2 linked regions of the Saccharomyces cerevisiae S288C genome follow. The gene in region 1 interacts genetically with each later gene. Each region holds a gene or a part of one and is shown on either strand. Other genes may lie near its edges.

What was found. A genetic interaction does not mean that the proteins touch.
Region 2: mutations in HAP4 (region 1) and SLX1 together harm fitness more than expected from each alone (negative genetic interaction), as found in Saccharomyces cerevisiae (2 studies listed by BioGRID).

What each region holds. Positions count from the first base shown.
Region 1 is NC_001143.9:229,349-235,225, reverse strand, and holds HAP4 (transcription factor HAP4), read right to left. Parts: upstream 3,000-5,877; coding exon 1,335-2,999; downstream 1-1,334. Other genes in the region: SLD2 (Sld2p), read right to left, coding at 1-800; KTI12 (Kti12p), read left to right, coding at 5,346-5,877.
Region 2 is NC_001134.8:672,785-676,727, forward strand, and holds SLX1 (endonuclease), read left to right. Parts: upstream 1-2,528; coding exon 2,529-3,443; downstream 3,444-3,943. Other genes in the region: YBR225W (uncharacterized protein), read left to right, coding at 1-545; MCX1 (Mcx1p), read right to left, coding at 788-2,350; glucan 1,3-alpha-glucosidase ROT2, read right to left, coding at 3,573-3,943. UniProt on the Saccharomyces cerevisiae protein: Catalytic subunit of the SLX1-SLX4 structure-specific endonuclease that resolves DNA secondary structures generated during DNA repair and recombination.

The sequences.
Region 1 (5,877 bases):
AGGGATTTCGTCAGTGGTCTTCTAATGAGTGGAGACGGACTAAATGAAGTTGAAATATCCGCTTGATCCTTTGAGGGAGTCTTCTGTAAAGATGGATATGCTATTTGAAGCCGGCGTTTAGTGCTTGAATTAAGTGAGATGTTTAGGTGAATGTTTTCTTCATCCAATTTTAGCGGGGAATTAGGTCCATAATACCCCGATGGTTTGCCAGATTCTAGTGGAGGATTAATAGTTGGACTACATTTCTTGATTTCTACCAACTTCCCATTGCGATTCTTGCATGGTGATGAAGTCGGAGTACGTGTAGAAGAAGCGTTTAGCATTTGAAAGTTTAATTGGCGTTTCACACTGGATATTGGTTCCGCCACTAACGTACGATCTGCAGGCGACGATTTTAGGAGAATAGTTTTTCGTGGAGAAGATTCATTAGAAATTGTCTTGGAGTTATCATTGTTAACATCAATATTATTTGTGAATGTCATGTATATAGGCTTTATAGGCGACAAATTCATGTCAAAGATACTAATCGCCTTACCGTAAACTTGGGGAGTAGGGCCTATCTCTACGACTTCGTCGTGGTCTTTTTTATGTGCCGGGAGTTCAACCGACTCTTGAGTGTCAACTTTTTGTCGTTGCAAAGATTGTTTCTTCTTCAGTGTGGAATATTGTTTATACATCTGCCGAACAGTCCGCAGGCTCTTGATGTCATCCCTTGTGGGTTCCCTTTTATTTTTATCAATGAAATCATGCTCCCATGTTTTCAGCTCAATTTTCAATTTGTCCAGTTCAAATGAGTACATCGAACTACAGTTATCGCCTCACTAGATAGATTTCCCTGTCCTGTGGAGCCTGATGTAAATCAAAATTTGATTTTATCATTTTTCTCTTGACGTGTTTCACCATACGCGTAAACGTGATGTGATATACGGAAGATATGTAAAAAGGAAGCAAAAAAAAAAAAAATGAAAGTAAACGGATATGTGAAAATGCTCTTAGGTAATTTGAATATAGTGTATGTATGAGAATAAATAACTAAGTACCAGAAACGGTATATAAATAAAAAAAAAATAATGGCCTTCCAGACCCATATTTGTTTTTCATTTTAACTTTTTTTTTATGATAAAGAAAGAAAAAAAAAATCATTAACATCATTAAAAAACAATCAAAGTTTTGTTTTTTTACTTTTTTTTTTTGGAATTTTTGTTGTTGAAGGAAAAGGACGCCTAAGCAGGCGAAGAATACTATCATTACCCATAATAAGAATTTTTTATTGTATAATATCATTTTGTTTTCGTGATTTTTAGTTGTTTTCGTTTTATTGCAACATGCCTATTTCAAAATACTTGTACCTTTAAAAAATCGACATCTTCGTCAAGGTCGTCGATGAAACTGCTTTGATCAAGTTCATTGGTGGCAGTTGCATCATTGTTGTTATCGTTTAAGTCATAAAGGTTAGCGTTCGACTTCGACGTAGAAATTTTTTTGGATTTCAGAACTTTGGTGTAGTCGTCATCAGTACCGGCACTACCGTCAATACCGGTATCGTTGGAAAACATGAAATTTTTAAAAGATCTGCCATTGTTACAGTCCTGCTCTTCCATCAACTCTTCTAGAGTTGGGGGCAAATAAGAAAACTTATTGTCAGCCAAAGTGATTTCTGAACCTAACTCGTCATGGTGATGCGAATCAGCGCTTTCATCCTGATCCTGAAGAAACAGATAGGTTTCATCGTTCTTTGCTTGGATGTTCGCCTTCTCAGAATTAGTATTTTTTTTCAAAGCACGTGATGAATCTTCTTGTTGTGAACTTGAACTTGGTAAATAATTCCAAATGTCTTCTTCATCTGGCTCAACCTTATCATCTTGCCCTGAAGATACGGTTTCCTCCAAAATTGGCAGATTCAATAAAGACATATTATCGTCATTGTCCACTTGTTGGTAATTGCCACTGTTCTTACCTGTTGTATCGTCCATAGACTGTAAGTAAGAATTCCAGAGATCATTATTTTCGTTAACGTCGTTATTCGTGTTGACTTTGGCATACTTATTGAAAAACTCAAGTTTCTCGAAATCGTTAAAGAATTTAATCTCGTTCAAATCCTCAATTTTGTCCTTAACTTGCAAATTAGTAGGCAAGGAGTGGTTTCTAATCAACGAGACTGAATCTGCTGGAGAGAAATCTGCTGGAGAATCAGGGAATGAAGCCTTATGAGGGATCTTATGAAAATTTAGGTTCATGTTCAAATCTTTTGTCAACTGTGGGACCGGAGTGGCCGATGAAGATGTGGAAGATAAGGACAATAAATCAAAGTCGTTCAACTTTGATTTTTTCGTGGGTGGTGCGTGAACATTTGAAGAAGAATCTATATGATGGTTTTTTGTTAGCAGACTGTTGTGAGCAGCAATGGTTTCCACATCGGTGCAGCTTTCATCGTCCATGAATTCTGATTTTTTTCTATTTCTATAACTTGAAAAAGATGGAGATGAATAAGATGGAGATGAAATGGAGGAGGCAGAAGAATGAAACTTTTCATTTTCCAAGTCATCGAACTTCAAAAATGCGAGGTAATTCGAGTCGTTTATTAGCTTTTCATCGATTGTCTGGATATGTCTTGGTATTTTCCTCTTTTCTTTGGAAGCTTGTTTCCTATTCGAAATGATGTTATTATTATTATTATTATTACTACTGTTCCTGCTGTTAGGGCCAACATTTAAAATATTATTGGTGTTGTTGGCAGGTAGAGTGTTGTGAGAAGATGATCTTCTACCAGGTCTTGGTCTTGGGGGCAAAACCCAATGTTTTGAAGTTCTAACCACCAAGCTAGACTTCTTCTTCTTTTTACTGCCATCGTTTTCGAATTCCAGCGAACTATTGTTATGATGGTTGGTATTTGGGGCGATCGGTACAGGCGCCAATGGAATATTATTATGCTCATTTTTAAAATGGTTACTACGAGGGCGACTAGCGGAGGCCTGTAGTAGAAAAGTCTTTGCGGTCATGATTCTTTTTTTGTTTTTTTTTTGTACTAGAAAATGTAGGTAAAACAAATCAGCAACCCATTAAAATGCTCTTTGATGTACTAGGAGACCAATAAATATGTGTGGAAAAAAAATAAAACTGTGTTTTTTCTCTTCCTATGCGTTTGATAATGATCTGCTCAAATAAATAATGACCCTTTTTTATTTTTCTGGTTCCTTTATAGTAGTATTTTTATATTATTAAGTGTAAAGTGGACCTGTAGATAGCATATACGATATAAAACTGGGGTTTAGAGAGGTGAAGGAATTAATAAAGGTAAAAAAATTAAAAGGAAAAAGGAGATGGACCTAAACAACCACACGGGGTTAAGCAAGAAGAAATTGATATAGGAGATTAGTTAATAGCTTTACAATATATATAATTTATCTAAAAACGATCTCATACTCAATAAATTTTTTTAGAGTAGTCTCGGAAAGAAAATAGCAATCCATTTACTTTTAGAACAATCTGCAAAATCGATACATGACACTTGGAAGCAACTGTGAAAAGGCTACGGCCATTGCTTACCGCGTGCAAGATCCGTAACATAAGAAAACTTTAGTCCTTGATGAAAGAAAATTTTCGTTTTTTTTTTCAGGTTCAGCGGGCTTAACCTCGTTTGCCGCCTCGGCCCCGCTCCGTTGTGCTGGCCATCTGTGCGCGGCGGGCTTCCCCCCCGTCGCTACTTCCGGATTAAACTTTTAGACTTCGGACCCCTGCCCCGGGGGGTTTCTCTGAACGCCGGGGTAGTGGTCCAAAGCCCACGAAACGCGTGTTCCTCTCAGCGGCATTGGAGTGAATAAAGCCCGCAGGACAGCCTTTTTTTTCCGGGCTGCACGACCGAATCAACTTGTCGCTCTATTCCTCCGTTGTTCCCGATTTGTAGCTCGGGGCCGACTCGCTTTTTGGCCAAGAAAATTGAGGAAAGCCCGTATTGCGGAGAAGGTTCTTATGTATTTGCCGTGCGATCAACCTCCGGGGCCCGGGTTTCAAATTCCGGCAATCATCCATGCCTAGTTTTGGAAATTCTCAGCAGAGGTTATCCCGTAAGGTGAAAAAAAGACATAAACGGTTTTTGCCTACAGTTTCCGGCAAAATAGTGATCTCATAGTACATCACTACTGCGAAGTCACCGGCCCGTACAGAAAAAGTATATCTTTAAATAGCGGCCCTACCTCTGCTTCTACCTACTTCATATTCGAATTCTTTTCTCGCCTTCCGCAGTGTTTCGCAAATCTGGACCTACGCACTAAATCATTTATGATTGTTCTCTCTTTCACGTGATAAGGTTTGCATTCTATTCGTTACCCTATTAATTATTACTATTTTTTTCAGCATGAGTTTTATTTCGCACATAAAATGCATCTATTTCTGGATATTACTGTAGTTTTCTTTGCTTTTCGCCTACCGCGCGGCGAAAAGTCGTATCAATCAATATGTGCCACTGCTATCATCCCTTGATAGAGTACAACGTAAAAGAGGCATTGTAGCATATTCACCCCGCTTGATAACTAGATTTTTTAGGCAAGAGTTGCGCACAGCGTACTGTGCACTACGGTATACAGAATTACACAATTGATACTTATTCTCTCCTTCATTGTTGCTCTGTTTCCGTTGTTTAAACTTTATCCAAAAACTCTGTTTTCTGTTTATTGAACCCCTTGCTTTCGCAAGCAAGCCCGACATATACGAACAGAACTGGGGAGAGGGAGTCTTATGCTGTACAACTCATGTAACCCCCACTATCTCAGGAGTTATATTAAATCAAGGCACGCCAGTGCTGCCTCTCTTGGTACGACAAACAAGTTTTTCCCGATTCTAGGTATTGCATTACATAATATCAACCCTTTGTTGTTTTCTTTTGATTTTTGAAAAGAAATATCTCATACCAACCGGAAAGGAAAAAGGACACAATTTGGGAAAATAGGCAATTTATTATGTACACAAGTCATAACCAAGAAAAAAGTAAGGGTAAAACAAGCAATTACTGAACTTGTTTCATGAGACTCATATCCAGAAGCATATTTATATAAGGAAATATTAGTTGCAAATCATTATGTCATTCCTTTCGCACACCCGATATGCTAAAAACAGCATACATGCACACTGCGCTTGGCTTGGACATATTCTCTCTGCATATGATGGAAAAAAAATCTTTTTTTTTCTTTTTCTTTGACTTTTTGCCGTTTTGTCATCGTCATCGCGATGGAAAAAGAAATGAAGAATACTTGATGAACAGGTGAAACTTGAACAATAACGTATCAGAATGAGGGTAAAGGGACCTTGTAAAACTTTTGAAAAAACTAAACAGGCAATTTAGTAAGAAGATGCCACTGGTGCTTTTTACGGGATACCCATGTAGTGGTAAGACAACGCTTGCTAAACATTTGGTACAACTACTACAGTCCAAGATCGATGCAACCCCATCATTAAGTAAATATTCCATAACCTATCATTCAGATGAATCTTTAGGCATAAAACATTCAGATTATATAACTTCCCAAGATGAAAGAAAATTGAGGTCGGAGATCATCTCCGCAGTGAAAAGAGATCTATCTAAAAACAAGATAGTCATTGTAGACTCGTTGAATTATATCAAGGGTTTCCGGTATCAACTTCACTGCGAGGTGAAAAATTTGTCCACCACATTTTGTGTAATTCAAACACTGTGTCCACCAGAGACTATATTCGAGTGGAATAAGACTTCAAACCCGAACCCTTGGGAACCCGAGTTATTGAATCAATTGATTCAACGATACGAAGAGCCTAACTCAAGCAACCGATGGGACTCTCCACTCTTTGCTATTCTTACTCCTCAGGACAACATAACTGACTACATCGACGATATTTGTAAAGTAG
Region 2 (3,943 bases), on another chromosome or scaffold:
ATAAATGGAAAGCTCTACTTAGGGAAATATACAGATCAATAATTCCTGGCGGGTACGCGCTGGCAATTGTTCCAGATTTAAGGATTTCAAACACATACTATACTGGAATTCTTGGCAACGCCGATGCCGAAAAAGCAAATAATTCATCAGAAGAGTTTTTGACTACAAAAGAACGGGACAAGACATTTGATGCTATGGCTATTGATGCGATAAATAAAGGCTTACATATCCATCCTACAAAACACTTAACGAGGACATTCAAGGATGTAGGGTTTACAGGCATCAAGTCCTCGGTCCTAAGTTTGAAAACTGGTGACTTCAAAACAGATATGGGCTTTTTGAATGAATTTAATTCTTTAGATATGTGGGACTACATGTTAAGGAGGCAACTACCAGATAGTAGTTGTCCTCCAAAGGATACCGACCCCACCACTCTTTTCAAAAGATATGTGGAAGAACACATAGGAAAAATCGATGACAACGCTGGCTGCTTTAGAACTTTGTATGTGGTGGCGCAAAAGCCAAAGCTGCCATATACCAAATAATTGTGCCGCCGTTCCAATTTTTTTTTAAATTGTTCAAGAATTACTTCAATTTTTACTACTGGACAAAAAGCATTATGATAAGGAGTAGTCTCCCAGTATCGTAGAACCAATTTGAAACACTTTAGCCAATATTTATTAATTTTTTTTACTTCCCATGGCATAGTACTTTGTAGGAAGATTATTTGTTCATTTACTACATTTATTACATCTATATTTATATATTCTATACCATTCATTTTTTTTTATGTTAAGCTTCTCTTGGGAATTGTTGGGGTATGAATGTTAGCAGAATGACCCAACTCTTTTTCTAGCATAACTCCTAATTTTTTATCTTCTTCAGAAACGTCACGAATTAAACTGTCCTTTTCATCACCAGAATAGTATTTTACGTCCACTTGGGAAGCCAAAGAGTGCTCTGTTTCCTGTAACGAGTCGACAGTAGCTTCGTCGATTAAAACGTATGCTATGTTAGAACCCGGGCAATCATAATTAACGTTTAGCAGAAGTCTTTCCATTATCCCTCTCAACCCTCTGGCGCCAGTTCCTTCCTTGAGAGCAAATTGAGCAACTTTCTTTAGCGCCTTTTGTGTAACACACAATCTTACCCCAAATTGCTTAAAAATATATTCATATTGATCCAATAAGGCATTTTTAGGTTCTTTTAATATATGAAATAAATCGTCTCTTTGTAGAGGCTGCAGAGCAGTTATAATTGGGACTCTGCCAATTAATTCAGGAATTAGACCAAAGCTAACTAAATCTGTGGGGGTGGTCAAGTCTAAAGCACACACTTTTTTTCCGTTATCTAATTCAACCTGCTCAAGCGTATTGCTAAATCTGAACTTCTTCGCTCTTTCTTTTTCAACTTCTTTACTATTCGATGATTCAACAGACTCTCCTGCCTTCTGTATTTTCTTCATATCTTCTATCCTTTTAACAATATGCTTATCTAAACCAACAAAAGCTCCCATAATCATGAAAAGAATATTTGAAGTGTCTACAACAAATACTTCGTCCTTCTTTGTTGTAGTTTGATTTTTTTGTCCGTCAATATCATGCTTAACAGGCCTTTTAACGGTAATTTCCACTTTATGGCCCTCAATGATTTTCAATAATGACTGTTGAACCCCTTCTCCGGACACGTCTTTAGTGCCAATGCTTGCGGCAGGCTTGGCTAGTTTATCAATCTCATCAAGAACAATAATACCTTTTTCTGCTCTCGCAACATCAAATTCAGCATTTACGAGCAATCTTTCAATGCATACTTCAACATCTTCACCTATGTAACCTGCTTGAGTCAATTGTGTACAATCTGTAATTGCAATTGGAACGTTTAATATTTTCGCCAATGTTGTTGCCAACAAAGTCTTACCAGAACCTGAGGGACCAACGACAAGGACATTACTTTTGCTTAACTCTAAATCTTCGTCAACCTCTCTACCTGCTAAATTAAACTGTCTTTGAAGATTCCTCCAACCAGCCTTTGATTCGCTGTTTCCACTGAAAATTGGTTCATCCCTATCATCCGCGATTTTCTCTCGTTCCATCAATTCTCTCTGCCTTTGTAATTCCCCTTTCTTTTGCTTGTCATTGATTCTTAAATAGTGATTATAAACTGCCACGCTTAAAACCTTCTTACCAATCTCTTGACCAACAATGTACTCATCGAGGAATTTCTTCAATGCTTTTGGAGTGGGTATATTCGATAAACGAGACTGTGCCAGTTTCCCTGATGCTGTAGCAGCATATCGACCAATTCTACTAGAATAAGCTCTAAAAAAGTTTTGGCTTGCAGATTTCAACATGAGTGTGAAATGTAATTAGAGTGCCTTGTCTTCTATGGTTTTGTTTGATGAGCCGTTTGCTTTTCTTTTTAATTTTAATATATACCACTGATGACTTATTCCCTTCTATCATCGAAAAAATATTGTCAAATTAATGTTCTCTTTTTTCAAAAAATATTAAAAAGATAAGAAAGGTACCATGTCGCAGAAAATACAGCAGCATCAGTTTCCTGATTTTTATTGTTGTTATCTACTACAATCGATTAACAAGAGGCAATCATTTTACGTTGGATCAACTCCTAACCCAGTACGACGTTTGAGGCAGCATAATGGGAAATTGGCTGTTGGAGGGGCATATCGAACCAAACGTGACGGTTCAAGGCCCTGGGAAATGATAATGATTGTGCGGGGCTTCCCAAGTAAGATAGCAGCTTTACAGTTTGAACATGCATGGCAACATGGGTACCAAACGCATTATATTGCCGAAAAAGATCGTGTTGTAAAGCATAAAGCAGGTGGAAGAACTTTACATCACAAAGTTGCATTAATGAAGTTACTTTTAAAGCATGAATTTTTTCAAAGGATGAACTTGATAGTCGAGGTTTTTAATATAAAGGCTTGGGAGGTTTGGAAACAGGACAAATTTTTTATTGAAAGAGACAGATTTCCGATTAATATACAAATAAATGAAAATGCGCTTGAAGAACCAAAGGAGAAAACTGTGGATGTTCTCATGGATCATAGTGATGAGAATTTAAAAGTGGTGGAAGCTGTATACACTAAAGTCATTGAAAATGAAAGAAACATATTCGAAACTTTCGAAAAGAAACTAACTACAGGGGTAGTGCGATGTGAAATTTGTGAGAAAGAAATTGACTACACGTCTGAAGAGCAAAATCTGAAGCCGTTTGTAGCGCTTTGCAATAATAAAGACTGTGGGTGTGTTAACCACTTGAAATGTCTTCACAGGTACTTTCTAGATGATGAACAGTTGATGGTAGGGAGAAGAAATTTGATACCTCGAGGTGGGAAATGTCCGAAATGTGATATGTTTTGCGACTGGACGACCCTAGTCAAGTTTTCGACAAGAATGAAGTTAGCTCACGGGAAGTAGGGCCTGACACAATTTTCGGTTCTTTTTTTTCTATAGATAATGGTTATATGTTATATTTACGGATATTTTTACGTTTACTTTGTAAGAAAGAGCTAAAAAGATGTAAAGATATCACTTCGTTTTTTTCCCTCAAAAAATAACTTCCCAATCTTCAGTTATGTCAAGCGATAGGTTAAGAATGGTGATCTTATTATCATTCTCATATGACGATCTAGTCGGCAATGAACTTTCTTCGCCATTTTTTTTGACTTTAATACTGTCTTTCAACGTTATGTTGTGTTGTAAATTATTCTTTGCGATAATGATTTTTTCAATATTGGTATTCCTCAAAGTATTGTGGTGAATGCCTGTCAAATTCTCGGGAATATGACTTCGAACATTTTTTAAGGTATTGTTTTCGAAAATGAACTGAGTTTCTACGTACTCACCTCTTTGGTAGCCAAAAGTTTCTCCATCATCAACATAAAGATCTCCAACGGCTCGTCCCTCGGTATCAGGGG